4 linked regions of the Alligator mississippiensis genome follow. The protein of the gene in region 1 interacts with the protein of each later gene in a biochemical or structural test. Links are inferred from orthologs where the notes say so. Each region holds a gene or a part of one and is shown in the gene's direction. Other genes may lie near its edges. The genes, in order: NHERF1, NF2, ABCC4 and ABCC2.

Region 1 (7,088 bases):
CTAAAGCTTTCACGAAGGACTTGCCGTAGAACTTCACCTGCCTTGTAGACGAATGTAAAGGTGACCCCTGCTTGAATATTAACTCAGTGGCAGGGCACTGCTCCGATGAAGCTCACGTCACTGATGGTCCCAGCTAGCACGTGCCATTCTGTGGGGCTCATGAAATAAAGATCAGGCTTCAAACAAACAGCAGTGGCTTAAAAAGAGCTCCTTTCCACGGGGCAGGTACTTCAGGCCTTGCATTTCTCATATGCATCTGTTTGGCAGGAAACAGCTGCAATGTTTCCATCTGTCCGACAGGTGGACAGAAGTGAACCAACAAAATGGGAGCTCGAGACACAGGTCATTAGCGTTTATTGACTTGAAACCTGATGACCAACCTTAACAATTCTTTTCATAAACTCTTGAGGGTTTTTCAACTTCCTTGTTTCTATTCAGAGGCAATTTAAGGCTAAACCAGTAGAGGAAGAAAAAAAAAAGCACCAAACGTGTTTAGACTATTGCTTCTTCGCCCTCCCTGACTGCCTGTACATCCATCTGTCTGCTATTTGCTGCCTGTTCACTTTCAGTTTCAGCTCCGTTGTTGTACATGCAACTATTCCTTGGCAGGTCCTGCAGAAACGGAGGTGGTAAACACTAGTATTGGATCACGGACTACACACAATGTGGTTCGAATGCAGAAAGGAAGCAATTTTGGGAGGGGGGAAAGACATTTTAAAACAATTTCAACTTAAGGGTTACAGGTACTAATAATAACTGCAGCACTGTGGCTTGTAAATGCGATTTTTCAAGTCAAAAGCATTGCGTGGAGAATAATAAATATAAAATAATCGGCAGAAGGAGAGAGCAGAAGGGAAGATGCTGAGAAATTCGGTGGTCTCGTGTTTCCAGACTGCTGCTATTAATTGCTTGCTTCAGTAGAAAAAGGAAAATGAAGTGGAACAGGAGGCATCAGCAAAGGACACCCCATGTTCGCTCTTCCAGTGTATATAGCGAGTAACGTGATCTCTTGAGCCAGAGTTGCTACTCCATCTTCCCTTGTGAAGCAGCAAAGTCGCTTATTCATGTAACTCCCTGACTCTTGGCTATTCTCTGTGTCCATTTTTTCTCCGCAGAAAAGATCAGGCTGATTTCCTAATGGCTGGAGGGCTCTCTCCTGCTTCTCCATGCAGTGGGTTTTATGCATAGCACTACTGACCTCAGATGCCCCAGGAAATTATTTTCTCATATAGTCAAGCGACGTATGAAAAGACAAAGGACCAGGTCTTTACAAGTGTTTTATTTCCTACCTCTCTTTGCGGTCAGTGGGAGTTAGCTGCCTCAATGCCTATAAAAGCCTCATTGAGAGAGTAGTGCAGAGACCCGAGGAATTTGGGGAAAGAGAAAGGAAGGGAAGTGCCCTCAAGAAGAAAACAGTTCAGGGTTCATGTCTTAATTCTCTGCTCGGATCACCCAGAAACACAAACTACCCATCAGTCCTACGAAGGTGAGGTGATCCACTGTGGTACCTCTACCGATCTGAGGCTGCATGAGGAAAAAGGACAGCGTTTTCTGCTCCGGTGACAACTGTGGCTCAAAGTCCATCCTGTGGTTTCATCTCCTTTTCCCATCAGCCTCACCTAAGTGTGCTGGGGAAACAAGCCTCTGGCACTGGTTCAAGTTATGGGATTTGAGTTCCCCTACCACTGCATTACCTCTGAAGGCCTGAGTTCAGGAAGGTCTAGTACAAAGTAGCAAGTTAAGTGATTTCAGGGCCTTTACCCCTTTCTAGTGGATGGCAACCCAAACTAACCTCAGTATAGGATAGACATGGGGGCAGGGTTGGACCCCTCTTTGATTCCTGCTCTACCCACAGTCTAAAACCAGCATTTCTAGCCAGGCAGCAGTAAAGGCATGAATTATCTTCATGGCTCATTGTAATCTACCCGGTCCCTTCAAAACTCTTCATTTCTCTGGTATTAACGACCCTCTCTTTTTTTCATCGTCTTGATATTCCACCAATCAAGCCAGCCTTTGCTCAGCAATTCGGCTGTCTGTAGCTGCTTCTGGTAATGAAGGTCCTATGTCACAACCCGGCTGATGGTCCAATGAAGTTATATTTGTTTTGGCTTCAACCTTAAACTGAATCATGCAGCCCTTAGGCCCCTAGCCTATTAGTAAAACTTCTAGTTTATTTTTAAGTGGAGAAAAAGTGGATGTATTGTTCCTACGTGTGATGATGCATCTTGCCGTCGGCACCCTCTTTTCAAAGTTCGAGATCTGCCCATGCATGAGTGAAATAACAAGCTTGTTTTAGCGGGATGCTCTAGCAGACTGTGCAGAGCCTATTAACAGGATGAAGCCTTTTGATGTGCCATACTAAAACATGGACCAATGCCCACCGCATAGAGCTACGAGCCCCCCCTTTAATAGGGGGGGCTACTAAGGACATATCAGGGATTGCTTGGGACAAACAAAGAAACAAAACGGGCATTTTTTTTTCCAAAAAGATTTATTTCTATATATATAAATATATATATATATATATAACTCTACCTCCAACACTATCAAGCAGCTCCTGTGGTTCACCTGGCAGATCACAGCACACTTGGACAGTTTAAACCATTAAAAGCTCATTACACAGTTTGCACCGCATCTCCGCACACCCATCTCTACACCCATGCCCCCACCCACAACCCTCTTCAGAGGGCCTGCAAAACAGGGACAAGGGCGAAGGTCAAAGGTCTGAAATGAGTTTACTGAAGGGAGACAGCGAGCAGAGCGTGCCGGCCAGTGCTCAGCAGCCCTTGAGCGTGTGCAAGGAGCCAGCGGACGCTGCTCAGCGAAACTGTGCTTGGAGATGTGAACAGAACAGGAACGGGAAGGGGGCTGTGCAATCCCCGGGGGTTCCCCCAGCCAAAGCCTCTTTCCACGTCCAATAGACAGTGGGGTTTTTAAAACTGTAAAAGCTTTTGGAGGTTTTTAAGGCCCGGCTACACAAAGCCGTGCTAGGACGATGTAGTTGGGGCTGGTCCTGCTTTGAGCACAGGGATAGACTCGAATCACTAGATGTGACCTCCCAACCCTCGTGGTCTCCGATTCTGTGGCCAGATTGACCAGGACCCGGAGGAGGTTGACCAAGAGGACTTGGTGGAGCCATGAACGGGGACGTGTAAAGAAAAAAGGTGCAAGGAGGGGGCAGGGGGTCATGCAGCCAGAGCCTCAGCAGCAGGTCTTGGAGCAGTGTCGGCCTTAGGGTTAATGGGGCCCTGGGCAAGAGTCATTCAGGGCCCCTTAGAGGTCAATATTAACCCACCACAGTTGCATCATGGACCTTTTTACTAGTCTTTGGGGGATTTTTTTTTTAAATTTGTTTCCGAGGCCAGATTAGCCAAAACCAATCCCAAATCCAAGAGTCTAAAACCATAAGTGGCCCTACTACTGGCAAACACCCGCCACCCACACCTGGGGCTCCAGATGTTTCCAAATCCTTTGGTGGGCGTCCTATGTACAGGCCCAAGCCCGGAGCCTGGGGGAGTTCGGACGCCCCCGAGATTTGCTCCTTCTCAGCCATCACCTACACGCAGCAAGCAAGGCAGGAAACCCCCCTTTTCCAAAAATGGGGCTTCACGCTGCTGCACCTCGGCAGGGACTGAACCAGAAGAGCAGGATCTTCGCCTATAAAAGGCAGAAGGATTTACATAAATAGCCGAGTGTTAAAATGCGAAAACTTGTGGAAACTACATCCCCCTGCCCCCAAATAGAAGAATAAAAATTGGGGACACCTAAAGTGTGGCCTGGTTTGCCCCCCCCACCCGGAGGAGGCGGAGAAGAGGCTGCAGGGGGCGCCCCGGCAGCAGGGAAACCCAGCGAGCAAGGAGGAGTGGCCCCCCAGAAGCCAGCAGGCCGAGGGGGCTGGTGCCCCAATCGTTGGGGGCGGGGCCTCAGCTTCTCTCATTTGCATAACCCCGCCCAGGGGAGGTGTGTCTCGGATTCGCTGCGGGTTCCAGAGCCTCTTGGGTTCCCAGCTGCGATTGGCTCCTCGCGGCGGCCCCGCCCCCGCTATAAAAGGCGGTGCCGAAGGCGGATCGCCAGCAGTCGGCGGCGGCGGCGGGGCTAGGCGCACGTGGCGCGGGGGGAGCGGAGCCCGCTGCCAGCATGAGCGACGGGGCGGGCGGCGAGCGGGCGGCGCCGCGCCTGTGCTGCCTGGAGAAGGGCCCGAGCGGCTACGGCTTCCACCTGCACGGCGAGAAGGGCAAGCCGGGCCAGTTCATCCGCCTGGTGGAGCCGGACTCGCCCGCCGAGCGCGCGGGGCTGCGGGCCGGCGACCGCCTGCTGGAGGTGAACGGCCACAACGTGGAGCAGGACAGCCACCAGCAGGTGGTCGGCCGCATCCGCGCCGCCTCCAGCGCCGTGCGCCTGCTGGTCGTGGACCCCAGCGCGGACGAGCCGCGAGCCCCGGCCCAGGAGGTGCAGCAGCAGCCGCCGCCGCCGGCGGAGGAGGAGGAGGAGGAGGAGGAGAAGGCGGCGGACGAGCCGGAGCCGGTGCAGCGGGTGCGTGCGGGTCTGGGGTCGCTTGCTCCCTCCCTCCCTCCCTCCCTGCTGCCCCCGGGGGGGCCGCTCTGCCCCTTGCGGGCTCCAAGGCAGAGCTTCCCCGGCACCCGTGGGACCAGCGCGCGTGCAGCCCGCCAGTGCTCAGCGTAGACGTGCGTTTGCTGTCCCCCGGTTGTCTGAGACTGGGGAAATGTGCATAGATGCATAGATTTTCGGGTTGGAAGGGACCTGTTAGATCATCGAGTCCAACCCCCTGCCCTGGGATGAGCCGATCCCCTGTGCCTAATCCTCGGTTCCTGCCTGCCCGGTTCCTTCAGGCCAGGCTGTGCCCGCAGCGGTCTCGTGAAAGCCGGCCTTGGCTTTCCAGAATAGCCAAGGAAGTGGTCACAAAAGTGTGCCAGGTTCGGGCAGCACCGGTGGGGGGAAGAGAGGGTGTCAGGAAATGGTTGCCAGCGTGGTGATCGTGTGAAGTTCGGTGTGTTTGAAAGTAAAAGGGCGTCCGGTTCTCGGGCAGCCCCAGTGCTGGCATCTTTTTGAAACAGCCCGACCTGCTGGGAGAAAGGAGAGGGTTGGAAATCAGCCGTTTCCAGAGAGCGCATCTTTACCTGTTCTCTGTGCGGGGGGGACTTGCAGCCAGGTCTTCTCGATGTGCTTCCTGCCGAAAGGAGAGGGGAGGTGCAGATCAGAAGGAGGGAAGGTGCAGAGGTGCGAGAATCCAGGCTGCGTATCTAGACTGGAGGAGCTGGACTGTTCTCGGTGGTGACAGAGCAAGGAGCGAGGGTCTCAAGTTGCAGCAGGGGAGGTTTAAGTTGGATATTACAGAAAACTTTCTCGCTGGGAGGGTGGTGGAGCGCTGGAACGGGTTACCTAGAGCGGTGCTGGAAGCTCCGTCCTTGGAGGTTTTCAAAACCCGGCCAGACAGAGCCCTGGCTGGGATGATGTAGTTGGGGCTGGTCTAGCAGGGGTTGTACTGGATGTGGTCCCTTCCAGTCCTCATTTTCTATGGTCTCCCTTTGGTGTCTTGGATACCTCTGAGCCTAGAGGTCGATTTCTAGGCTACTTGTTCAAATTACAGCGGGTTAGAAACCAGCACTAGAATTTTTACATATTTTCAAGCACTAACTTTATAGCTTGTTAGCTCTTTTTTGTAGTTGGATGGACATTTTTATCTTGTGATAATTACTCTGCACATGTGGCCGCTCTAGCTTCGTTGCACCATTAACCAGATAATTGTGTGATGATCACTTCGCACATGTACCCGGTCTTACTTTGCACGTGTTACCAGTCTAAACTTATTCCATGTTTAACCAGTGAGTTGCATAATATATGTAATATATAGCAGGGGCCTAGGTGGCACACGAAGAGCCACAGAATAAGCACAAAAGAAAGCCTGATGATGATTCAGAGCTATTAATGTTGCTTTTGTACCTGGGAACTCGGTGTAGAACCAGTGGCTGGGTGGTACTAGGAGCTGCACAAAGTGCTGAAGGAAAACAGACACACCTTCCCTAGTCTCTATTAATAATCTTCAGGGCTAATTATAGATGTAGGACTTCTGCTTTCCCCTCTGCCCACTGTCAAGAGTGTGGCAGCCTCTGTCTTGCTGCATTGCTGAAATAATGATACATCTCAAAGGAGCCAGTTTCTTATCAAGTTTTCCAAATGAGTATATAAAAGGCATGGATGGAGGTTGTCTCTCACCCCTAGGGCAGAGTGATATCTTCTCTGTGCTGGTGGGGCTAACCTCTTGCCATCTCCAGTGTATAAAGACAAGCTTAGCTTCTGCGTCCCCTATTCATATGATAAAGGGGTTTTTTGGCAGAGGGTCGGGGGTAACTAAAAATTGGAGCCTTTGTCAGGTTAAGATGGGGTTTATGGGCACGGGCATAAGATTCCCTAAATGCGTTACTGAGGAGCTACTTAGCTGTGACCTGTAGCCATTCGAAAGAACAAATGACTTGGACCAATTTGGAAATAGTGTGGGAAAACTAAGTCTGAGCAGTGCTAAGTAGCCCTCTGGTAGTGTAGCATGGACAAAGCTACACCACTTCTAGCCTGCGAGGAGGTGTGTGTGGTGTCTTTTAGGACAGCGCTGCTGGGCAGGATAGCATTGCAGTTGAGATGTGTCCTCCTTTATATCCCTTCATACCCCGGTATCGCTTCATATCCCAGTGACGCCTGTCAAAGCTTAAACACAACCCCTCAAACCGTTGATCACAGTCAGGCAGCTGATGTGCTGTAACCACAGATTATAATGCTAACTGCTATTAACACACTATTTTTTTTTTTTCTTCCCCATTTGCAAAATGTGTCAGATTGAGATTGTAATCTTAGCAAGGCTGGGGTTCTCTGTCTGTGCAGTGCCTAAAACAAAGGATCTTTTGTCTTGTAGCTGCCCCCCATCAGAAAATTGAGATGCTTTTAGGGAAGAGGAGTTTTGATCCATGTTGATGCAAGTCTTACATTACAGTATGGAGACTTGTCCAACACCCCTGAAGTGACGTCAGTAATATCCTGTTAGTGGAAATACAGACAGACACATTACAGGGATGTGG
Region 2 (7,693 bases), on another chromosome or scaffold:
CTTTTATAGATCTCTTATATCATCAAAGTCGTGGCAGGAGGGAAAAGAAGTGTCATCTGATCTCATCCAGCTCAGCCATAGGAGCACAGCCACCCTGAGGGGCCAGTGAATGTCAGCGGGATGTTGGGGCGTATGCCCTTACACGATGACTGCCCAACAGTCACCTGCCCTGGAAATCTTCAAAAGGAGACTGGACAGTCACCTTGCTGGGGTCACTTGACCCTAGCTGTCTTTTCTTGCTTAGTGTGGGGGAACTGGACCTGATAATTTATAAGGTCCCTTCCTGCCCCTAGCAATCTATTAGTCTATTAGGATAAATGTGTTAAGGATTATGAAGTGCTTTTATATTATAGTAATGGAGGCCAGGTCAATGCCTAAATTAGATAGACATGCTATTCACATGGGTGAAGTTCCACAGTAGCTTAAATGTTTGTAGGATTGGGTGCTTGAGGGGGCCAGAATATTGCATGTCTTTATCCAGGTGAACAGTCCTCCTGAAGTTAACAGGACTATGCATGTGCTTCCAGTTAAGCATGTTCCCAAGTGTTTGCACTTTGATCATACCTCTTAGGGCCCTTTGATTGTAAATTCTCTGGAGCAGGGTCAGCGGGTGACATCCTGGTTGCAAAGCTCTCATCTGTTTTAATGGTGCCAGGATTCCACCCTAGACTTCTATTTATGGCACAGTGTTGAGCAGACGATCCCTGCTTGACAGTTAACCAGCTAATAAGAATTATATCCAGAAAGTGAATGTGACTGGCTTATTTAATCATCCAAGTTGAAAGAAGCATGCAAAATTGAAAGCATAAATTAACCTAAAAAACCCCTCCCAATTGAATAATCTAAGGTCTGTTTGTAAAATCAAGGCTCTTTTTGGTGGTGAGTGGCTAGGGAAAGGGGAGGCTTTCATATTAACAGTACTCTTTCAGTAAAAACTCACCTTTTCCATTATTTCTTTCCTAATATCACTCACTCACTGGAGAATTAGAAAGGCTTCTTGTAAAGCCCTTTGAAAATAGAATCACATATACTCTCTGTTGGGTGACCTGGTATTCTTGTGATCGCTGCTATTGGTTTTCTTTAGTGCCCCCATCCTACAAAGGAGAGCTGTGTATGTGAACCCCTATGACTGCGGCAATCCCCATCATTATTGCCGGTGGTCTGTACTGGAGCTGGGCCTCCTTGGATAGTTTTCTTGGTGGAATAAGGCCTTAAGAGTGTAAGGGCACATTTTAAAAGTATTTAGGTGGTTAATTTCCATGATTTCAATAGGAGTTGGGGCCTAAATACCTTTTAAGAAGCTGTTCTTAAGGACTGTGGTAGAGGGAGGGTCATTTACTAGGAGTCTGTACAATGCCTAGCATGCAGGAGGTCAGATTTGCTTGGGTTCTTTAGCTGCTACCACAACATAAATACAAAACATTAAAATCTTGCTAGCAATAAATGAATGACCTTCCAAAATGGCTAGTACCTCTTTAGTTGTTTTTCTTTTTGATGAACAAAGAAAGCCAGAAAAATATTTTCTATTTATTTTTTAGAGAGCTAAAGGACAATTTTGCTCTTCTGCTGGTTTTTACTTTATAAATTCAGATCCTTTCTAGCCTTTACTTTCCCTAGAGCAGGGCTGTCCAAATGGCATCCTGCAGACCACATCCAGCCCAAAAAGGGTTACTCAGTGGCCCTTGCGTTTCCACCTATCTGCTACTGCTTCCATTACTCTGGCTGCGGTGGTTGTGGCTGGGGGGTTTCTGGAGCAGGGCAGCATGAAGGGAGACACAGTCTATTCAGTTTGCTGCCTGTGCAACAGCATCAGAAGTTGGGGCTTGGGCAGGGGGGGCATGGCAGGGGTATCACCAGTGCAGTGGTGGCTGTGGCAGTGGGAAGCCCTTGGTACTTATGTGGCCATGGGGTTACATGCGGTGGGGGTCCCAGAGAGCCCATGCAGCCTGGGGCCCATGACCTGAACAGCCCCCAGTTACTCTGAAGTTGAACAGCTCTGCCCTAGAGGACTCTATGGATATGTGGAAAACTGTTAGAATCATGGAATCACAAGCAGCTGGGAAGAAAAACCTCCATTTCTCTGAGTTAAGAAACTATTTTAATTTATGGTATTTAGAACGCAAATGTTTGATAAAAGCAGTTGAGAGAAAAGCTCTTGTTAAATAACAACTCCCACCCTAAGAACTGGGTAAAGAGGGGAGATCTTTTTGGGAGCTAAGTTAGGGAAGAAAAGACTCTATATACTCTTGTTATTTCTAAGGCATAAAAGTAAGAGGAAAATAAAGCTGAAAAGCTTTTATCTATCATAAAGAAGCAAGTAACGGCACAAACCCATTTCTTTTTTCTTTCTCCTAGTAGGTCACCTTTAAATTAATTCTGTTTGGCACTGAGGGGTTATGCTTTACAATAATACTTAATATACTGTGTTCTGTGTGCTTCCTAGTACACAACCTCATGTAGGTTTTAAAGCAAAAGTACTTGGCAGGAAACCAGGATGAAGCATTGCTGCTTGCACTCTTCATTAAAGAGTTCCTCCCTGAGCCCACAAGTCACCTGTAACCATGGCCCCCATTAAGTGACACAGGAACAGCTCAATCTGTTACCATAGGCATGGTTTCAAAATTACAAATGGAAGCTCAAGCCTCATTCTGCACGTTCTGCACTCAGAGGACCAGCAAGGAAAGGTGAGTCATAAAAGCTTTTCATGGCTTTGACTTTCCTTGAGTTTCTAAATTAGTCTGTCTGACAATTCAGAGGATGTGGAACAAGTTAGAGGCCTAAAGAAGCAGATGCATTTGGAGCTTTATGGTTGCTGGGTTTTAATAGAGTTTTCTGTCACAGGCAATAGACTCGGTAGCCTTAGGCCAGCCAGTGATGTGATGGAATTTCCTTGCACTCAGAAGAATGCACCCAGTGATCTTAGTTTCATATCCTGCCTATTCCTACACTACCCCCATGTACTGAGATTTAATCAAACCGCCTGTATCATGGGGAGATTCATTCAACTGTTAGCTCTTGGGGGCAAAGAGTATCTTTTTGTTCAGAATCTGCAGAGTGCTTAGCACTGTGGGGTCCTGGATCAGAACAAACTCCAAGGGTTACAATTCAAGTAATAAATGAGTTGGAACTTCCAGCTGCTAGGGCAGATCTGGTATTTGTAGGGCTTGTACCTAGTGGAATAGAGGACACTTACAGTTACATTAGCTTATTTAGTTGACTTATAACAACTATATACATGCATAAGAGACTGACTTAGTCTACCTGGCTCATTAGCTGTGTCTCCATTTGCCTCCTGTTCCTCCATACAACAGGCTCTGATAACTTTGATTCCCACTTCAAAGTTACTATTTGTCATTAGCAAATAGTACTGGGCTGAGACTGATTATTGATGTTTATAGATGGGTCCTGGTGGGGAAAAAAAAGGTTGAGAACCACTGCCCTAAGTGACCAAGCCAAGGTAGGCCTGACACTCAACTCTAAGGCATTTCATAGGATCACAGCAAATTAAGGCTGTAAAGGACCTTGTAAGATCATCTAGTCCAGCCCCCTGCTCAAGGCAGGATCATCCCTGTGCGTCTAACCTGCTTTTGAAAGTTTCCAAGGATCAAGTCCACAATGTCTCTAGGTAGTCTGTTCCAATGCCCGACCGCTCTTCAACCTAAATTTCCCCTGCTGCAGTTTGAGACCACCGCTAGTCCTATCCCCTATGACCACAGGCCTATCTCCATCTTCTCTACAATCACCCTGCAAGTAACTGAAGATGGTTATCAAAGCACCCCTTGGTATCCTCTTCTCCAAGCTAAATAACTCTAGCTCTTCCAGCCTTTACTTTCAGGTCCCTGATCATTTCTGCTGCCCTGTGCTGAACTCCTTCCAACCTGTCCACATCCTGCATGGAGTGTGGGGCCCAAACCTGGACAGGGCACTCCAGGTGAGGCCTCGCCAGGGCTGAATACAGCGGAAGAATCACTTCCCTTGATTTGCAAGGGATGCTCCTGTTAATATAGCCCAGGATGCTGCTGCCTTTGTTTTGTTTGGGGGTTTTTTGGCAACAGGGGCAAGCTGTTGGCTCCTATTCAGTGTAGGGTCCACTGCAACGGCCAGGTCTTTCTCTGCAGCTGGGACAGTCATCCCCAGCCTGGATCTGCTCTGCTGCCTGCCTGCGCCAGGACAATGGGACCTCGCCCGTTGCCTTTCAGCGCTGTGGACGACAGCCCACTCCAGGGTCGCCCCCTTGCTAGGCTAGGCCAGGCCGAGCGGGGCCCCCGGGCAGACCAGGTCCTTTCCCTCTTCCCGGGGCGGTGCACAAACAAGCCCTCCGGCGGGTCCAGTGCTCCTGCACAGCGCCAGCCTCCACCCGGGGCCCCACGGCGCTCCCACAGGCCGCGAGGCGGGAGTCCCCGCCAGGGGGAGCCGGAGCGCGGGCCGCCCTCGCCCAATCAGGGACCGGTGTTGCTCGGCGGCCTCTCAACCGCCCTTGCTGAGGAGGCGGGGCCGGAGTGCAGGAGTGGCAGCCGGGCTCGGCTACTCGGAGCGCGCCCAGCGCCGGGGGGTTAGGGGGGTGGGAGCGTACTGAATTTGCGATTAGCTGAGCGCATCTCCAGGAGGCGGGCGAAAGGGGCGCCCCGCCCTCCCGAGCCGCTGGGCCAATGGCGGGGAGTAGTGGAGTTAAGTTGCACCAGCAGCGGCGACGGGAGGTTGGCGGGGCAGGGAGCGGCGGTCCCAGCCCGCCCTGGCCCGGTGTTGCCCCTCCCCCCCCTTTCCACCATGTCGCCCTCGCGGCCCGGCCCCCTGAGGCCCCGCGCCCGGGGCTGATCCGCCCCGCCCTCCCCGAGCCGGGTGCGGCGGAGCCCGCCATGGCCGGGGCCATCGCGTCCCGCATGAGCTTCAGCTCGCTGAAGAGGAAACAGCCCAAGACCTTCACGGTGCGCATCGTCACCATGGACGCCGAGATGGAGTTCAGCTGCGAGGTAGTGGGCCCGTCCTGTCCCGCCCGGCCAGGGGTGCGCGGGGTGGGCCGCCTCGGAGGGGAGTGCCCCTGGCCCCGGCCCGGCCCTTCCCGCTCTGCCCTTGCTGCGGGCACGCAGGCGAGCGGGGCAGGCGGAGCTGTCCCGGCGCCTCTGGCTGGGGGCGGCCTCCTGCCCACTTGAGGGCTCTCCCTGCAGCCTGCGCCCACTTGACCTGTGCCCCGGGCAGGGCGCCTGCACTGAAGCGCCCTCAGAGCCTGCGCGGTCGCTCCCCGGTTGAGAAGCACTGCTCCAGCGCACGCTTGGCCGAGGTGGTTTGGGTAATGATGATCCCGCCTCAAGCAGGGGGTTGGGCTAGGTGAGTTCACCAGGTCCCTCCCAGCCCTGCGGGCCTATGAGTTCGGAGCTGCTGGGTCCAGAGCTGTTCCTAGTGGCCATGGGCATCCCCGGACCGGTGCGCTGCATCGGTTTTGAGCAGCGAGCGTAATTGTTCCATCCTTGTCTACAAGCGGTGCGTTCGTTTGAATGCGCTCAAATGTGCTCCCAATCCACTGTCTCCAGACCAAGTGCGTGAGAGGTCAGGAAGTAAATACTTAAATGGTGGTGGGTGTTACCTAACCCTGGAAGATGTTAGGCAGGCCCTTGCAGAGCCCCTTGCAGTATCTTGCCCCTAGAGCATGTGTTTGGAGGTTTGCAGGCTGGCATGTTGTATACAGCATGTGCTGGCCACAGACCCTCATGGTGCATGTGGAGCCCATCGGGCATGGCCTGCACACAGTGCTAGGGCTGGAGCCAGCATGTGTGCTACACACAGTGGGTGGGACCAGTCTGGGGCATGTGCTGTGTGCACCACGTGTGCTGGGCTGGCCATGCACACTGGATCCAGGGCTGGTCTGGATTGAGCCACAGACCAGCTGTAGCATGCAGGTCTGGGCTGGCATAAGTGCCACATACATCATGTGCCCTGGACTGGTCCTGTGCTCCACATGCTTTGTGGGGTTGGTCTGGGGCACGTACTGCACAAGATTGCCCTTGAGTGCTGGATCTCAGGCTGGTCTGGTTTGGGCCTGTAGACCAGCCCCACACGCCAGATTTGGTACAGGGCTCTTCCCTGTTATGATGGTGGGGATTCAAGTCAGGTCATTAGTTGCTATTCCTGAATGCCATGATGTAACTTGGGTGATCTTCTTTTGTATGACATTTCAGGATTACAATGTTCATGGATTAATATCTAAATTTGATAACCATTAGACTGCTTTAGGGGTAGCTGCATGGATTGATTTTTTTTTTTATTTTTTTTTTAGATTGCCATTAAATATTTAATTTGACAGTCGTTTACAATGTGTTACACCATCTGAAAAATCGCACCACAATTGCAACCCAGATTCTTTGATTCTCTATTTATGGGGTAGGTGTCCACATTTTCCATTAAGTGTCTGGATGTGATTCAGGGAGGACCAAATCTTTCTCGATAGGTCAAATCCTGGCTGGAGAATTGCAGGGTCACTGACTACGTATTTTTGCGGCAGGTTGGTATTCTCCCAGGTGTCCCTTCACTGTTCTTTGGTGCTCGTTATCACCATAGAGCTTCTTGGTGTCTTTCCAGAAGCTTTTTCTCGGTGGTGGTATAGTTGTCTCTGTGAGGGAGGTTCCTAGAAGCAATTCTTCAGTGACTCCCTTAGCTAGAGTAAAGGATTGTCTCTTCTGCAATATTGCTGCACATTCATAGATTTTCAGGGTTGGGACCTCAGCCTCAGGCAGAGAAATTATGTGTCAAAAATAATTGCTGAAAATATTGTGAAAGGATTGAACATCAGCTCTGGGTCACCAGTAATGCAGGTACTCTACTCTCTCCTAGCCCCTAAAGGTGATCTTCTTGCAAACCTACTGTGCATAGTAAGTAAATGGAAAGCTGTGAACAAATCTGAGTAATATTAATGTTTACAATGCTGAGCAGCAGACTCTTGGAATGACTGTGCTTGGGGGTATGAAAGGACCAACTTTTAGGCTAAGTACAGATAGTCAAGAGCCTGAGGCCGAATCCATTCAATCTTTGCAGGTTAGCCAAAGTTGTGTAGATTAAATCAATAAGCAACTGAATGGGTATTCATTTTGATTTTGAAAATGCAGCCGCATGCCTGCAGTAGCCTAGGCCAGAAGCCAAGGGGTGCTAGAGCACACCTCCCTGGTCAGCAGGAACATATAGCTTGGGCCAAGGCAGGCCTGCCCTCCCTATGGGGGGCAGAGGGTTTGTGGAGGAGGTGCAAAGCATCCTGGGGTGCTGGGGAACTGAGAGTTAACTTGAATCTGGAGGGGATCTGGACAGATGTTCAATAAACTGATTTAATCTAAATCAGTTAACTGATATTACATCCATCCAGGTTTATCTTAAGCTGGTTTCAGCCATTTTGAAACTGGTTTATGTGCACTGAAGTTGTGTTTATGCTACAGATTTGAGAGAGTTTCTGATTGCTTATACTGGTTTCTGTGTAATTTCTGTCCCTGGTCTTAATGAGGGTCTAGCATCCGTGTGCATTTGGCCATTCTGCCCCTGTATCAGTTGAAACATCCCAACACATTAGCTGGCCCCTGGAAAGCTTTATTTGATGTGTAATGCAAATGATTAACTGCCAGATTGTAGATGGCAAATCCTGGAGTTGTAGGATCAAACTAAGGAGCCAGCATGGTAAAAATAGCAATTTGTCCAACATTTGCTGGGGTTAGTT
Region 3 (7,523 bases), on another chromosome or scaffold:
AATGTTCACGGTCATGTGGACGTGGTCAATATGGCCAACATCCCAGTGCTTAGAGGAAGCCTCCAAAAAACCCCAGAAGGTAGTAGACTTTTATCTTTCCTACTTCCTGCAGGCAAACAAAAGCCCTGAGGAATTGAATTACCAGACATCTACCACATTTTAAGAAAGTTAGACCTGTACCTCAACATAGGGATTGTATGTACTTGACCCTATATATAACCAGGGTTGGTGCCACTGGGGTGCAATGGTGCAGCTGCACTCCCCTTCGATTCTTGCTGCACCCAAACTTTAAAACCAACTACCTTCATAGCTCATTATCATCTCCCTGATTCCTGCTAATCTCTCTCCACTCCATGGGTGATAATGACCCTCTGTCTTTTTAATGGTCCTGCTAACCTACTGTTCAAACTATCCTTTCTTCTGCCATTTTGTTGTCTGTTAGCCATTCCTGGTAATGTCTCTTCTATTTCGTAGCCTGAAGACTGTTTTTAGTTCTAGGAAAAACCTTAACTCAGGTGTAGAAATGGCTAACAGGAAGTATTGGCGGTACTATCAAGACACTCGAGAAGAGTAGATTTTGCTTTATGAATCTGAATAAGAGATGTACATTTAATTATAATGACTACCGGACTTAATGATACAATATATTTTGATCATTTTGACTATTTTGCCTAGTTTATTGTGTTTTTTAAACTTTATAGATAATCTAGCAAATTAGTGCACATTTAACTAGTTATATTGGTTTTTGCTTTGACCTTAAAATGCATAATATGGTGCTAGCATATTAGCAAAGCATCTGGTTTTCCTTTAAGTAGATAAAAATGTGTTGTGTATATGTGATGATGTGCCACACTGTCTGCACCTCCCTTTTCAAAATCCTAGCTTTGTCTATGCATATAATACAAGGTAATAGTTGACCCAACAACTTCTTTTCCCATAATATTATGCTTTTGATAACTTATCTAGTTCAATTTAAAAACAGTTCCGGTTCTTTGTCCCCACATGAGGAAACACTTTCTAGTCAATAAATCAGAAAACGGGATAACAAATTGGACACAAACTGAACAGGTGGGTTGTAAGCCAGTAGACTACCAGACTGTTTTTGCCTATAGTATGAAAGGAAACCAGGCAAGTCAGTTGGCTGGTAAGCCCAGCAGCCTACTTGCCTGTCTGCTTTTCTGTCTTGTTTTGAACAAAAGCTTTGACAGAAACATGTTCATCGGAATCTTTTGATTCCATCAAATCATCATTTTCCTATGGACAATTGTTCCCTTGGAAAGCTTTCAACCACTCTAAACTGCTTTCTATGCTTCCTTTGCCAGACAGTTGCTATGTAATGCTAGGCAAATCACTTAAACCAAATTTTTGTTCCTGGTTACTCATTTTGTGACACCCCCCCCATTTCCTAATACTCATCTTGGGCCCCTGGGAGCTGATTTGCAGAAGTTCTGAATGCTCATAGCTTCAACAGATTTCAATGGGAGTTGCACTTTGAAAATGCATCATTGTGTTGAATATCCTGGAAAAGTAGGTTCTAGATGTACCTAACTGAGTAGACATTTTTTATTTCTTTGGAAATTTTTAATTTACATCTCCTTCATTGGAAGTTTTTTTTTTTAATTTTTAAAGAATAGGCCAGATAAGCATTTGTTAGGGATAGTTTAGGAATAGACAGCTTGCATCTGTGCAGGCAGTTGGACTAGATGATTTTTGAGGTCCCTTCCAATGATTTTAATAACGCTTTGCTTCAGTTTCCCATCCAGAAATTGGAGGTCATACCACACTATTGGGAGATGTAGGGTGAAAAATGTTTGTAAAGCACTGGGTACAGTAGTGATAAATACACAGAAATGCTCACAGGGAAGTTAGTAATTCTATATTCAGACCAAGGTATGAATAGAGCAGTAAATAAGGCATATTGCCATATATTGAGAAATGAGGATAAAATGAATATTGAACAGCTGCCCATTCAGTGATGACCAGTTTTCCTGTACACCAAATGAGAAAGGAAATCTGTTTGTGTTGTTTTTTTTAAATGTAATTGAAGGCTGTAACATAATGCATATGTATAAGAGGTTGAATTGTGTTGCCTTTTCTTAGGCATTTCCTAATCATGAGTGCTTGATCATACAACCTTAATGTTCTTTCAAGGTAGCTGTATGTAATTATTAATAAAGTTGTACTTTCTAGAAATGGCTCTGTGTGTGTGTGTGTGTGTGTGTGTGTGTGTGTATATGTATCTGTGTATCAATAAGCACAGAACTCCATATATGACTAAGTGCAAGTGTCAAGCTAGTGGTTTTGTCCCTCCTGTCTTTATATTATTTCCTATGAATTTGTTCACTTTTCATTTTCCCATTTTCTTTTGTATGTAGCCTTAAATTTTCAGAGGACAAAATTCCATGGCTTGTTTTGTGTTTTATTACCTTTTATAATGATGCAATGTTCTATTTCTGGGTTCTTGCCAGGTAGTGGCATTTTCCCAATGGTAGACAGCTCTGTAACAGCTACTCCTACAAATTTATCTAGCCTACTGGCTTTTAAAAAAATATTTTCTGTTTAATATGATTTTGTTTTTTTCCCCTTCTGCTTTGCTTTCCTCTCTCCATCCAATTATCTTTTAAGAGCATTTGGTTTTGGAAATTAAGTTATTGGAAATACTTAAATGTGTGTAAATGTTTACAAGGCTGGAGCCCTAGTTGGTATCATTTACAGTATCAGTGTCATTCATAATAATGGGGGTGGAATGCAGAGAGAGAGAGGACTTAAGACACTAATCCAGGAAGTAAATTATTTATTCTTTTCTCCAAAGCCAATGTCCTTGGGGGAAAAAAAAATTCTCTCTGTGTTATAACAACAAAGCAGTCATTACGGTATGACTAAAATTAACCAAGGATTATAGACTTAATTTTGCTGCCTTATCCAAAGAAAGAATCCTAATTCACAGGCAGCCCAACTTTACTATTTTATCCCAGGAAGGTAATGGTGCTTATATTAAGATCTCCACCTTAATGTCTTTTCACTCTTTTAAAATTTTTTTCCCCCCTCTGAGTGGTATAAAGACCTTCTACAGGTTTTTTCTGAAGTTCTGGCATGAGCGACCGGTGCCTTCTGAGTCAGATGGGTCCCCCTGCAGCTGATCACACTGACCCAGAAGTGCCAACGACGCTTCTCCTGGTGCCCCTACTCCCCAGCCAGCGCTTTCAGGGGGAGCACCAGCGCTCCCACCTGCCCCCCGTCCATTGCTTAAGTGGGGAACGCTGGCTGGCAGGGGGTGCATAAGCGCTCTCAGGGGGTGGATGTGCACCCTCATGCACCCCCTCCATGTTGCCACTGAGTCCCAGCTTTAACTTTTGTATTAAAAACTGCACGCGCATATCCAGAGAAGCTGTAATGGGGTAGTTATACCCCCTCTTTTGGATTGCACTGTACCAGGGGAGCTTTGGGGGACTTTTTAACTCTTTAAAAAGAAGTGAAAACCTTCCTCCCCTGCTTTTCCCCACTTTCTCTGCTTTCTCACTGTCCCAGGGGTGGGGGAAGCACCAGAGCCGCTCCTGTCTGGTGTAGCCAGGCTGCATGTGGGCTGATCTCAGCTGGGGACGGCAGCAGTGGGGATGGGTTGAGGGGAATCCCCTTCAGTCTGCCTGCTCCCAGGGGATGGAGGACAGAGAGAGGAACTACTCTCCCACCCTGGTGTTGCCCCTGTCCCCTCCCCAGATGAGGCCAGCCTGGCTGGGTGAGGAGGAACAGCTCTGGTGCTCTCCCAGCCCCCAAAACATCTGGGAAAGCAACAATGGCAGCTGTGGAATGGGGAGGGAAGGGAAAGGAGGTGGGACTTGTCACCTGCTTTAGAGACCTAAAGTCCCTGCGGGCTGTTGAGGACAGTCTGTTTGCACGGGTGGGGAAGGAAGCAGGGAGGTAGGGGTACAGTCACCCCCACACCTCTCTTTGGGAAATCCTAGATCCACCCCTGAATAAAAGGTTGGCCACATTTGATCTCGGGGTAACCATGATTTGCCTGTTTTCAGCGAGTGCTAGATTCCAGTGAGAGTGGGCCGTGTGTGTTTGAGCGTATGTTTAAGTGTGTGAGCATGTGTCTAAATGAGCATGTCTCCACATGCACCGTTACTTGGCAGTAACTTAAGTTACCTCTCAGTGGCCAAAAATCACTGCGCAGTCCGCACACTGTGCAGTAACTCTAGTGACATGCACCGATTTGGGTGGAAATTTGCTACCTGCATGAGGCAGGTAGCAAATTCCCACCTGAGTGTTTCCTGCACAGTGACAGGGGTTTAGGTTGTAGCCGTGTTGGTCTAAGGACATAGATGCCTTACTGCACAGTATCCCTATTTGTGTACCCAAGTCCATCCAGACACAAACTTACTGCGCTGTAATGCCTGCGGGTCTAAACCCAACCCTCTCCATAAAAGCCCGGTAAATGCACGTGTCGACATGCGCGGTGTGTGCGTGTAGCTGTGTCCCTACATGCCATTCAAGAAGGGTTTGGGCGCTCTGAGGTGGGCTGCAACCTGCTCTTTCCCTGCCGGGCAGGGGCAGGGCCGCGCCGGAGCCTGTCGCTCAGGGCCGTGAAGGAAGGGACTTTGGAGGGGAGCAGGGCACCCGCACCTGGGCTGTTTCCGCGCCAGGCTTTGAAGGCAGGGAGCGGGAGCGGGTCCGGGCAGCCCTCTCCTCTGGGGCGGCTCCGCCCCGGCCCGGCCCGGCCCGGCTCCCGGTTCCCGCCGCCGCTCTGTGCCGCAGAGGCAGGGCCCGGGGCGGCCCCGGAAGCGGCGGGTGCCCGTGCCAGTGCCCGTGCCCCGGGGCTGGCGGCGGCATGGAGGCGCTGCCCCGCGCGGAGAACCCCAACCCGCTGCAGGGCGCCAACCTCTGCTCGCGGCTCTTCTTCTGGTGAGTGCGGCCCGCGGGGAGCCGGGCTCCTCTCCTCCTCCTCGGCCTCTCCCTGCGCCTCCTCTCGCAGCCGCGGCTGGAGGGAGCTTCAGGTCGGGAAAGCCTGTGGTCGGGCGCGCTCTCCCTCTGCCCGCACCCGTGTGTCCAGCCGTGCCTCTGCCGTATCTGGCATCTCTCTCATTCGCACTCGCTCTGTCCTATCCCTCCAGAGCTGTTTCTTTCTATCACTCTCCTGCTGCATCTGTCACCGTTACCATCACTCACTCTGTCACTGTGGTGCCCTATTGCTCGCTCGCTCTTTATCACATCGCCTTGCTTGCTCTGTCACTCGTATCTATCACCTTATCACTGTCTTGCTCCCGCTCACTCATATTGTATCGCTTGGTCTATTGCTATCATTTGCTCTATCACTTGTCTCTGTCACCGTATCACTGTCTATTGCTCACTCTCTCTTTATCACATCGTATCGCTTGCTCTGTCACTCGTATCTATCACCATATCACTGTCTTGGTTTATCGCTCGCTCTTACTATCATCTCGTATTAGTTGCTCTATTACTGTTACTGTCACTCGCTCTGTTGCTCTATTGTATTGCTCTCTCACTGTGTTGCTCTATCATTGTATCACTGTCTACTCCTCTTTTGCTCTCAATCATATTGTATCACTTACTCTATCACTTGTTCCGTCACTCAATCACTATATCACTGTCTTGCTCTGTCACTCACTCTCTATCATATTGTATCGTTTGCTCTATAACTATAACTATCATTCACTCTATCAATTATATCTATCACTATATCACTGTAGCTCACTGTCATATTGTAGTGCTCACTTTATCACTCGCTCTGTCTGTCGCTCTATAGCTATAGATCTGCTTTAAGGTAGATATTGCTCTGGTGATATAGCTGTAGATCTACTCTGCATAGACAGATCTAGGATTTTGAAAAGGGAGCTGGGCATATAGTGTGGTACGTCATCACGTATAACACAGCACATATTTATCCAGTTAAAGAGAAAGCAGATGCTTTGCTAACCTTTGGTTAGTCTATAAGGTGCAAATCTACTCTGCTGTCCACTTGACTTCAGATTAACAGGGCTAAAACTCCATGCTCTGTACAGAGGTGGCATCACCCATGGCTCATCCCTGCTTTCTACAGTGGTTGCCCACAGCAGGGAGAGAGTTTGCTTCTTGTTTTCCCTAGACTTTTTGGAGAGGGAGGTGAAGAGGATCCCACCCACTTGTCTTCTCCCACTCTGTGCATCTGGATCCCAGCTTTATTCGTCCCTTGGCCAGATATGCAGTGTGAAGACTTTGCAGGGGCTGGGCAGCATGCCAGAAACCTCTTTGTTTGAACACTTTGGAAACCCAGATGGTGTTTGAATTAACCATCTTGACAGTACAACCAGATCTGAGTAGGTGCAAGAATCCTTTCTGGAAGGTGGAGAGGGACCATCCCTTCCTCCAGAAAGACAAAAAGCAAGTGACCAAGCAGATTTTCCCTTATTTAGGGTATGTGTTCAGAGGTCCTAAGTTTTAGGAGGTACAAAAACAAAACATCCCAGATAGCCCTGGTAGAGTTCCCTCTGCTGGGCGCTCACCAGGCTGCTGTGTTTGCGTCTCAAGATGCTAAAGCCAGGATTTTTTTAGGTTTTCCTTGGATGGAAGAGACTGCAGCACACTCTTTTTCCTTGCCCTCTCTAGCCCTTTAGCACAGAGGTGTTGTTAGCTGTGTTAGTCTGAAGTTAAATAGAAGGCAGGGTAGATCTGCACCTTATAGACTAATCAGACCACCTCTATTTTGGTTAGTCTGTGAGGTGCAAATCTATCCTGCCTTTCTCTCTAGCCCCTTCCTGGGCTGTTTCTGCTCCACTGAAATGAGACCATATGGGCCAGCTGCCCAGCACATTAGAGCAAGTGCTAAGCTCTCTGTAGCTTGTGTGCACCTGTTTGCAGGACTGACCTTGTTGGTGTTTTGCATTTTCAGCTCTCCCTGAGTGGTTACACTATATGCATACAGCTGTAAAGTGGATTTCATTGCTGACCTGTATTACAAAAATAAAGCTAGTGTTTGCAACACCACTAATACACTATTTTGTTAGAGCTGGGGAATATGGAAAGCCTAAAGGCCGTGTTGAATGAGTACTTTAAGAAGTGTGATTTTTTTTTTTTTTTAACAGCTCAGTTCTTAATCATTATTCTTAGGGGGAAAAAAATTATAAGTTTGTGAATTAATCCAAAGAAAGTAAAGCATGTATCTCAGATACCAGAACTACAGTGCACAGAGAAGAAGAGAGAGGAAGCAGAGAAATGTGCCAACTGTTGTGTTTTGTAGTGAGTCCTGTCAGGAATGGCACCCCTCTAGGGAATTCCTACGCTCTGCATTAAGAAGTATGCAACATTTGCATAGTTATTCCTTGGTTGCTCTCATTTTCCTTTGTAAACCCTTGATGTCCCAGTACTGTGGACCTTATGATGAGTAGTAGCCTCACTTGTTCTTTCAGGCAGGTGGAGAATGTTGAAAAGTCACGGGTTCCTTTTGCTGTGGATGTAGAGACTTTTCTCAATCCTCTGCACATGCTGCTGTGGAGGGGAAGGAATTCAATCATTTTTAACCTGAC
Region 4 (7,691 bases), on another chromosome or scaffold:
CAAGTCCTAGATCTCCAGTGGCTATGCGATGTTCAAGCTGGTGTTTCTGCCACCACTTTGCCAAGCCGTGCCTTCCTCCCAGCTCGCACGTTCCTTCCACCGGGACCCGCCCCGTGTCTCGCCCCTTTTCCAGGTCACTTATATGAATGATAAATAGGACGGGTCCCGACACAGACCCCTGGGGGACCCTGCTGTTTACTTCTTTCCATCCCGAGTACTGACCATTTAGACTCACTCCTTCGGTTTCTGTCTTTACGCCAATTTTTCTAATCCAGAATTGACCTTCCCTGTGATCCCATAACTGCCTAGCTTCTTCAAGAGCTGCCAATGGGGGACCTTGTCAAAAGGTGTTGTTGGAAGCTGTGGCAAAGTGGGGGGTCCCCATCTAGCCACAGTGCTAGTCTCCCCAACTCCCTCTGTGTACACCATGCACTTGTCTCGCCTTGTTGTTAATGAATTAAGTTGTTAATTAAGGTGGGAGGCTGCCCATTCTTGCCCCGATGCCAGGGGGCGCTATCTGCAGCTCCGTTCTTCCCCAACACCGCAGCCCAAGCCTTGCTGATGGCATCCAGGTGACAATGCTCCCGGCTTACCGCCGGACCGAGCTTAGGCCTCGTTGTCAGACCTCGGACGCACACACTTTCATAGCGCCCTCCTCTCACTGGGGCCTCGCACACTCCACCCCTCTCACGGGGTCTCTTTCACACCTCGACAACTTGTACCACCTGGCTCCCTCGTGGAGCAGCCCCCTTCGGCCATAGGCTTTAGCTAGCTCATGCCTTGGGTGGCAGACGTACCGGCTTTTGAGTCTCTCCCGCAACCCTCACTGAGGTAGTGGCCAGCTAGTTGCCCGGCCGGGTCCAAGCTTGCCCTGGCCCCTCCTGGGGCAACTCTGTACACTCAGTCAATACTGGACTCCCAGCCCTCTGGTCCCCCCCCGGGGGGTCCTCATTTCTGCCCCCTCACTGGGGCTATGGCACTTCCCTGCCCTATGGGGCTCAGGTGGCCGCAGCCGTGCCTGGCCCCCCCACTCGTTCTTGTCCCACACCACGACTGGTGCTCTGGGTCTCACGGGACTCTCCCCCCCCCGGAGAGCAGGTCACTGTGCTGTACGCTAGCTCTTACTTTCAACCCACACGCAGCCTCCCAGCGGTGGAGGGCTTACCGGGGTCAGGACTCACCCTTATCTCTCAGACTGAGCCCCCGTACTCGGCATCTGGCCCAAACTGCAGCCTCGGGCATCTAAAGACATCCCTTGGCTTCCTCTCACTGGGGCCACGGGGCTTCCTCCCTGGTAGGCTCAGGTGGCTGTAGCCATACCTGGCCCCAACTACCGGGGATGTTACATGGCCCACCTGAAGGCAATGGCTGGGGTTAAGGCACCCTGACCCACCTTCCACCAGGGTGGTAACTGGCCTGGCATTTCCTGGGGGCTCCCACACCACTGAGCCCCACCAGGCCACCCGCTCCCGGCAGGGTGCAGTTGTAGATCATGCCCAGGACCAGGAGCCTCCTAGCCATCCCCTACAGCACCTGCCCTTACCTCCAGGGTGTTGCATGGAGCCTCACAGCCAGGCAATGGTCCTGCCTGGCCACCAGCTGCGAAATGCCCTGTTTATATCGGGGGCCAGAGCTCTAAAATGGTCGCTGCAATCACGCACCTGCTGGCTGCTTGGCTCCGCTCTTAAAGTGGCAGCACCACCAGTGCCCTGCCACAGAAGCCCAGATATACTATGTCAGCTGGCCAACCAGATCGCTGAGCTCTCGGCTGGGTGTGCATGGAGGGAGCGCCCAGCAGAAGCAGGCGCAGACCAACCGCAGGGACGGGGAGAGGTGGGGATGCAGCTGCAGGCATCCAACGCTGCCCTCCTCTTCCTCGCTGCTCCATGTTGGAGGGCAGACTGAGGGTGGCCTGGGCAGGAGCTCCTCCCTAAGGGGAGAGGCTGGATGGAGAAAGAGGGCTGGCATCCGGGCTGGAGGCAGCCGAGCTGTTTCCACTAGGAGAGAGAGAGAGGGAACAGAACTGCAGCTGGAACTGACCCCTAACCATGGGCCCTCCCAACCCACACCCATCCCCAAGGCACTTTGGGGTTATGGGGTGTCCAGGTAGGGCCACGGGGTCACCCCCTGCTCAGGAGATCGGGGGGAGAGGGGGGTGCGGGGAAGGGGTCCGTGATCTCCAGCAGGGTCTGCAGGCCCTTGCACAGTCTGCCTGGATGGGAGCAGAAAGGACTCACGGACAATCCTCGCTACCGGGGGTGTTGAGGGACCATTCCCAGAGCAGGATCCCAAGGCAGAAGGCACCCGGTACCTCCTTCCAGGGCTCTGCCAGCCATGCCTCCTTCGGGGACCTCATCCCAAATGAGGAAGCTGCACCTTTCCACTCCTGGCTCTGGGGAGCTTGGGCAACGGCTGCTGCTTCGTACTGCAGCTCCTTCCCTGCCCTGCCCTCCTGGGAACGGGACCCACCGAGCAGGAGCTGGCTTGGTGATGGCGAGGCTATCGGAGCAGATGAACGCGGCTCGAGGTTGGAGGTTCACTGGCTTGTGTCCGGAGATATCCCCAGAGCAGGGCAGGGGCCCGTCCTGTGCTGCACAGGTCTCCGCATTGTAGCGCTAGGACTCCGAGGCCTGCTCTGCCGCCTGCCTGGTGCCGCGGACCCCAGAGGGGACGTGACTTCTCCAGCCGCTGTGTTGCAGGCCGGGAAGCGCCACGTGCGCTTGGGCCCGCGTCGCACAACTCGGGAGAGCAGACGCTGCTTGTACTGGGCTGCCAGCCCTCCTGGCAAGGAAGAGCCACAGTGACACGGGCTGGCTGTGGGGTGTTTATTTGACATCATAGCGCTGTCGCACAATTCACCGCCCCATTAGCTAACCCTCCCCTCTGGCCCATGGCTGCCGGACAGTTGGTGCCAGTGCTGCAGCCAGGAAAGGGTCCACAATCAAAAAGACCAGTAGTGGCCTCCAGCCCCGGGAGTGGGCATCCACATGAAGCCACAAAAGAGACCACGGAAGAGGTGGCAGGTTTCTGCGTGTGATCCATGCCCTTCCCCGCCCCGGGGATGCGGGAGCTGAAGTCTCTTTGCCTGCGCTGACAGGGGGGTCCCAGGGTCTGCACGTTTCTGTCCCGCTACAGGATGTTCTTTGTGATGGCGTTCAGGGTCCGCACTTTCGCCACGTCGGCCACCTTGATGGACAGTCGGAGGCAGAGGGAGGCTCCCTTGTCAAGCCAGAGGGTTAAATATCTGGAGGGGTGAGGAGCCAGCACACTGACCAGTTAATTTTTAGGAACCAGATTGATTAAACCTGCTTTGCATCTTGTAAACCAACCTGCTCTGCGGCAGGTGAGGCCTGTGATGCCCCGCATGCAGCCCAGGTGTCCATAAGGTATCCAGGGGGGGAGCCCAAAGAATAGCCCCTGCCTGCGCTGCCCACCAAGGCCACCACCCAGGCGGAGCCCATGGGGCACCACACTCCCACTGTCCTCCACCACGCTGGCCCTATCCCCTCTGCTCAGCCCCATGGGAACAGCTGCCCTGTCTGATGTGTTGGAGAAGGGATGTCAAGGGAGGGGAGGGCCCAGAGAGGCCTGGGCTGGAGATGGGATGGGGCCAATGTGGTGGAGGATGATGGGAGCACGGTGGCTCCATGGGCTCCCCTAGGGTGGTGGCCGGGGCGGACAGCACACGCAGGGTCTGTGCTTTGGGGTCCCTCGTGGACGGCTGGGCTGCGTGCGGGGCATCACAGGCCTCCCCTGCCGCAGGGCTGGCTTGTTTACGAGATGAAGAGCATGTTTAATCAATCAGGCTCCTAATAATTAACTGTTCTGTGTGCTGGCTCATTGTGCCCCTGGACATTGCACTCTCCCGGGTTGGGCGGCTGGTGGCTCACGCAGGGTTGCTGCCAATTAAATCATCGATGACTTTTGAGCTACTTCTCAAGTGCATGAGGCATATCTGAGATAGCAGATTTCCCCTTCCAGCCCCGCTGTTGGAGCCCCCGTCACCCTTCCCAGCTTTGCCCCCTTGGCTGGGGGTGCCCAGCACTGTCCCCAGGGGCCGCCGCGTGGCTGCCAGAAATTTTGGGGCAGTTCTGGGGAACCAGCTCCTCCTGTCTTTCTAAGGATCCCCAGGGGTCGGGTCCCAGGCATTGGGTGCTGGGAGCTCTCCCACCTTTGGGCTGGCTGGCACCAAGTGTCTGGGCCGTGTGGGGACCTCGGGACTGCAGGGCCAGCCCAGAGCTCCCTGGGAGGAGAGTGGGGCAAGGAGGGAGCTCCCCTCAACTGCTGGCAGACACTGGCCTGCAGGAGACAGCCAGTCCGGCCCAGACCCGGGCCTATAGGGTCACACTATTGCAGGGTTCCCAGTAGGACAGTGCGGTGGGGCTTGAGGACCGGCTGTTGTGTGCTGGGATGCTCCGGCCTGACACCCTGGGAGGCGGTGGTGGAGCCGGGTCCCACATCCTCTGCAGCCCTGGGCCGCTCTGCGCTGAGATCCCCGGTGCCCCGGCTACCAGGATGGCTCCGAGCGGGGATCCCCGAGGCTAGAAACCCCGAGCGGCGGCAGCCCAGGCCCCCCCGCCCCGGCCCAGCCCGGCCCACCCCTGTGGCCGCCGGTCGGGTTGGTTTGCACAGGGCTCGGGGAGTTAACGATTAACGCCACCTGCGGGCTCCTTATCCCGACCCCGGGTGCGTGGGGACTTTTGCCCGGGCAGCGCTCGCGGCACCCACGGAGCTGCCGGCCCAGCCCGCCCCGGCCCGCCGACATGCCGCCCGCTCTGGACCACTTCTGCGGCTCCGTCTTCTGGGTGAGCGGCCCTGGGGGCTCAGGCCCGGGGGCTCAGCCCCGCGCCAGGGCTGCCGCGATCGGGCCTGGGGCAGCCCAGCCAAGGGGCGGCGGTGGAGGTACCCCCGGCCCGGCTGCAGGCGGGAGCCAGGGCCACCGGGAGCCGAGGGACGCGGCTGGAGCTGAGGCGCTGCTGCCCACAGGGAGAAGCTGGGGCCAGGGCCGTCGGGGATCTGCGCAGGGGGACACGGCACAGCCTGCTCCGCGCCCGCCCTGTCCCCTGCCCTGCGCCGCCCTGCGCCCGGGCACCTCCTGCCCCCGGGTGACCTGGATCCTCCTGCCTCCCCCAGAACACCTCGCTGCTGCAGCGCCCCGACGCCGACCTGCCCCTGTGCTTCGAGCAGACCGTGCTGGTCTGGGTCCCCCTGGGCTTCCTCTGGCTCTTCGCGCCCTGGCACCTGCTGTCCCTGTGCAAGTCCAGTGCCAAGAAATACTCCCGGACCAGGCTCTACCTGGCTAAGCAGGTGCAGTCCAGCCCGAGGGACCTCGCGGTGCAAGGGGCTGGGTCCAGGGGGGCAGGTGGGCATGGCCGGGGGGTACAACAGGCTGGCATGGACTGAAGGGTGTTGCAGGTGGGCGACAGCGCAGCTCCCCCCTGCCAGACCCCACGGCCTCTGTAGCTTGCGGGGCTGGGGCTGGGGTCTGCTGACAGCTGTTCCCCCACAGGCACTGACTGGGCTGCTCCTGCTCACGGCTGTGACTGAGCTGGTCTTCACGCTGGCAGAGGACTTGGGGAGTCCGGGCCCGGCCGGCCAGAGCCCCGCTGTGCACTACACAAACCCCGTGCTGTATACGCTGACCTGGGTAGGAGCTCCCTGCCCCCAGCAGGGGGGATCGGAGCAGTGGGTGGCCCCAGGACACCCCTGTGGTTGTGGGTTCCCACCATGCATGGGCAAAGGGACCTGCCTCCTGGGCTTGGACTGGGACCTGCCTCCATCAGGGGCAGGGGTGGCAAGAATGGGGCACAGGCTCCCTGCAGACTCAGGCAGGTGCTGCTGCTCCAGTCACACTCTGGAGAGGAGGCTTCAGGTCCTGATCCCAGAGCTGTGGGTCCCAATCCTGGGGCTGTGGGCACTGGACCCTGTGTTTAACCTTTGCTCAGTGGGGCCCTGGGGTTCTGCCCCTTCCCTGATGGCCCCTGACCCAGCTGCTCCCTCACCAGGTCCTGGTGCTGTTGCTGCACGATGCCCGGCGCCGCTGCCTGCGCAGGGACTGTGGGCTGCTCTTCCTCTTCTGGATGCTGTCCCTGATGTGCGGCATCTTCCCACTCCAGACGCTGATCCGGAGGGCGCTGCAGGTCAGGTCTTGCAGGACCTCTGTGCTCCCAGCTTGGCCCCTGGGGAATCCCTTCCTTGCTCCTGCTCCAGATAGGCAGGGGTGTTTGGCTCCCCTGTTCACACCAGGTCCTTGCACTTGGGTCCAGGCGGGGGCTGGAAGGAGACAGGCCAGGGCCCGGCCACCCCTGCCACAGGAAGGGCGGTAGGAGGGTGTGTTCTCCTTGGCCCCAGACACCACCCTGGCTTTGTGGGATCTGGCCCCGCTCCTGTCCTGGCTGATGGGTTGAGCTGGTGTCTGGGCCTCGCTTTGAGATAACCTGGGCAGCTCCTGGATGTCTCCCTCCCACAGGGCCCCATTCCTGACGTGCCACGGTTCAGCCTCTTCCTCCTCTCCTATGGGCTTCAGCTTGTCCTCACTGTCACCTCCACCTTCTCCGATATCGCCCCTGAAACTGCTGAGGCTGCCAGGAAGGTGAGGCCCTGGGTGCTGTGGGGAGCCCCACAGGCAGCCAGGGGCTGGGGACAGAGGGCTGAGTCCATGGGAGACCCTGGAGCCATTCTGCGGGCTCTGCGGAGCAGTTCCCAGCGTGGGTGGTGGATGGAGAAAGGGCTCCTGGCCTCCACCCTGCACAGCCCTGAGACTGGTTGGGCTGGTGCCCGCATGGCATGATGGGGCCAGAGCCAGCTCCCCAAACCCCTGCAGAGCGGCCGGCTCAGGGGACAGACACTCCTTGTCCTTGTGCCCTAGAACCCCGAGGTCACGGCCTCCTTCCTGAGCTCCATCACCTTCGGCTGGTACAGCAGGTACGTGGGACGCAGGGCAGGGCTGGGCCAGGGCACTGCTGGGGCCACGTGGTGTCTACACCTTGAATGCTGCACCCAGCTCTGGTCCTGTGCCTCCCAAAGGATAGAGAAGAACTAGAGAAGGGCAGCAAGGTGGGTTTGTAGGGGTAGGGAGGGGCTTGTACGGGAGAAGAGACTTACGGGGTCAGGCCTGGTTGGTTTAGAAAAGCAGGGACAGGAGACGGGTTTGCACAATACTAAACAGTGACGAGAAGGTCTGCAGGGAGTTATGACTGACAGTCTCTCGCCGGACAAGACCTGGGGGCACAACATGAGACGAGCAGCAGAACCGGGGCTGGGCACCGGGGTATGGTGGCTGGGGGTGTGGGGTGAGGGCTCAGGACAACTGGTGGGGGGGTCCCCGCAGCAGAGCTGACCGAACCCTCTGGCCCAGGATGGTGTGGAAGGGGCACCGCAAGCCCCTGGAGATGGAGGACCTGTGGGAGCTGCGGGACCAGGACAGGACACAGCCAGTCTCCGTGGCCTTTGAGCGGCACATGCAGGCCGAGCTGCGGCGGGCCCGGCGGGCGCTGGAGCACCGACACCACCGCCGCAGGAACCATCCCGCTGACGCGGAGCACAGGAATGGGCTGGCCCCGGCCCAGAGCCGCGACGTCCTGGTGCTGGTAATGCCCTCAGCTGCACCAGGGCGGAGCTCAGACCAGGGCACCTTGTCCCCACCCCTCCCAGCACAGCACAGCAAGGCGGGGGCTGGAGGGCCCCTGTTC

The links.
Region 2: the proteins of NHERF1 (region 1) and NF2 form a complex in vitro, tested with the Homo sapiens proteins (2 studies listed by BioGRID). The link is inferred for Alligator mississippiensis from reciprocal best matches to the Homo sapiens genes NHERF1 and NF2.
Region 3: the proteins of NHERF1 (region 1) and ABCC4 form a complex in vitro, tested with the Homo sapiens proteins (3 studies listed by BioGRID and IntAct, with this or other methods). The link is inferred for Alligator mississippiensis from reciprocal best matches to the Homo sapiens genes NHERF1 and ABCC4.
Region 4: the proteins of NHERF1 (region 1) and ABCC2 form a complex in vitro, tested with the Homo sapiens proteins (2 studies listed by BioGRID). The link is inferred for Alligator mississippiensis from reciprocal best matches to the Homo sapiens genes NHERF1 and ABCC2.

The regions. Positions count from the first base shown.
Region 1 is NC_081831.1:11,679,293-11,686,380, forward strand, and holds the start of NHERF1 (Na(+)/H(+) exchange regulatory cofactor NHE-RF1), read left to right. Parts: upstream 1-4,079; 5' UTR 4,080-4,137; coding exon 4,138-4,533; intron 4,534-7,088. UniProt on the Homo sapiens protein: Scaffold protein that connects plasma membrane proteins with members of the ezrin/moesin/radixin family and thereby helps to link them to the actin cytoskeleton and to regulate their surface expression. Necessary for recycling of internalized ADRB2.
Region 2 is NC_081833.1:26,673,950-26,681,642, forward strand, and holds the start of NF2 (merlin), read left to right. Parts: upstream 1-4,692; 5' UTR 4,693-4,856; coding exon 4,857-4,970; intron 4,971-6,288; exon of another isoform or gene 6,289-6,375; intron 6,376-7,693. UniProt on the Homo sapiens protein: Probable regulator of the Hippo/SWH (Sav/Wts/Hpo) signaling pathway, a signaling pathway that plays a pivotal role in tumor suppression by restricting proliferation and promoting apoptosis.
Region 3 is NC_081824.1:367,956,995-367,964,517, forward strand, and holds the start of ABCC4 (ATP-binding cassette sub-family C member 4), read left to right. Parts: upstream 1-4,518; 5' UTR 4,519-4,831; coding exon 4,832-4,905; intron 4,906-7,523. UniProt on the Homo sapiens protein: ATP-dependent transporter of the ATP-binding cassette (ABC) family that actively extrudes physiological compounds and xenobiotics from cells.
Region 4 is NC_081829.1:101,076,770-101,084,460, forward strand, and holds the start of ABCC2 (ATP-binding cassette sub-family C member 2), read left to right. Parts: upstream 1-4,680; 5' UTR 4,681-4,763; coding exon 4,764-4,805; intron 4,806-5,133; coding exon 5,134-5,307; intron 5,308-5,509; coding exon 5,510-5,647; intron 5,648-6,005; coding exon 6,006-6,140; intron 6,141-6,469; coding exon 6,470-6,592; intron 6,593-6,868; coding exon 6,869-6,924; intron 6,925-7,357; coding exon 7,358-7,589; intron 7,590-7,691. UniProt on the Homo sapiens protein: ATP-dependent transporter of the ATP-binding cassette (ABC) family that binds and hydrolyzes ATP to enable active transport of various substrates including many drugs, toxicants and endogenous compound across cell membranes.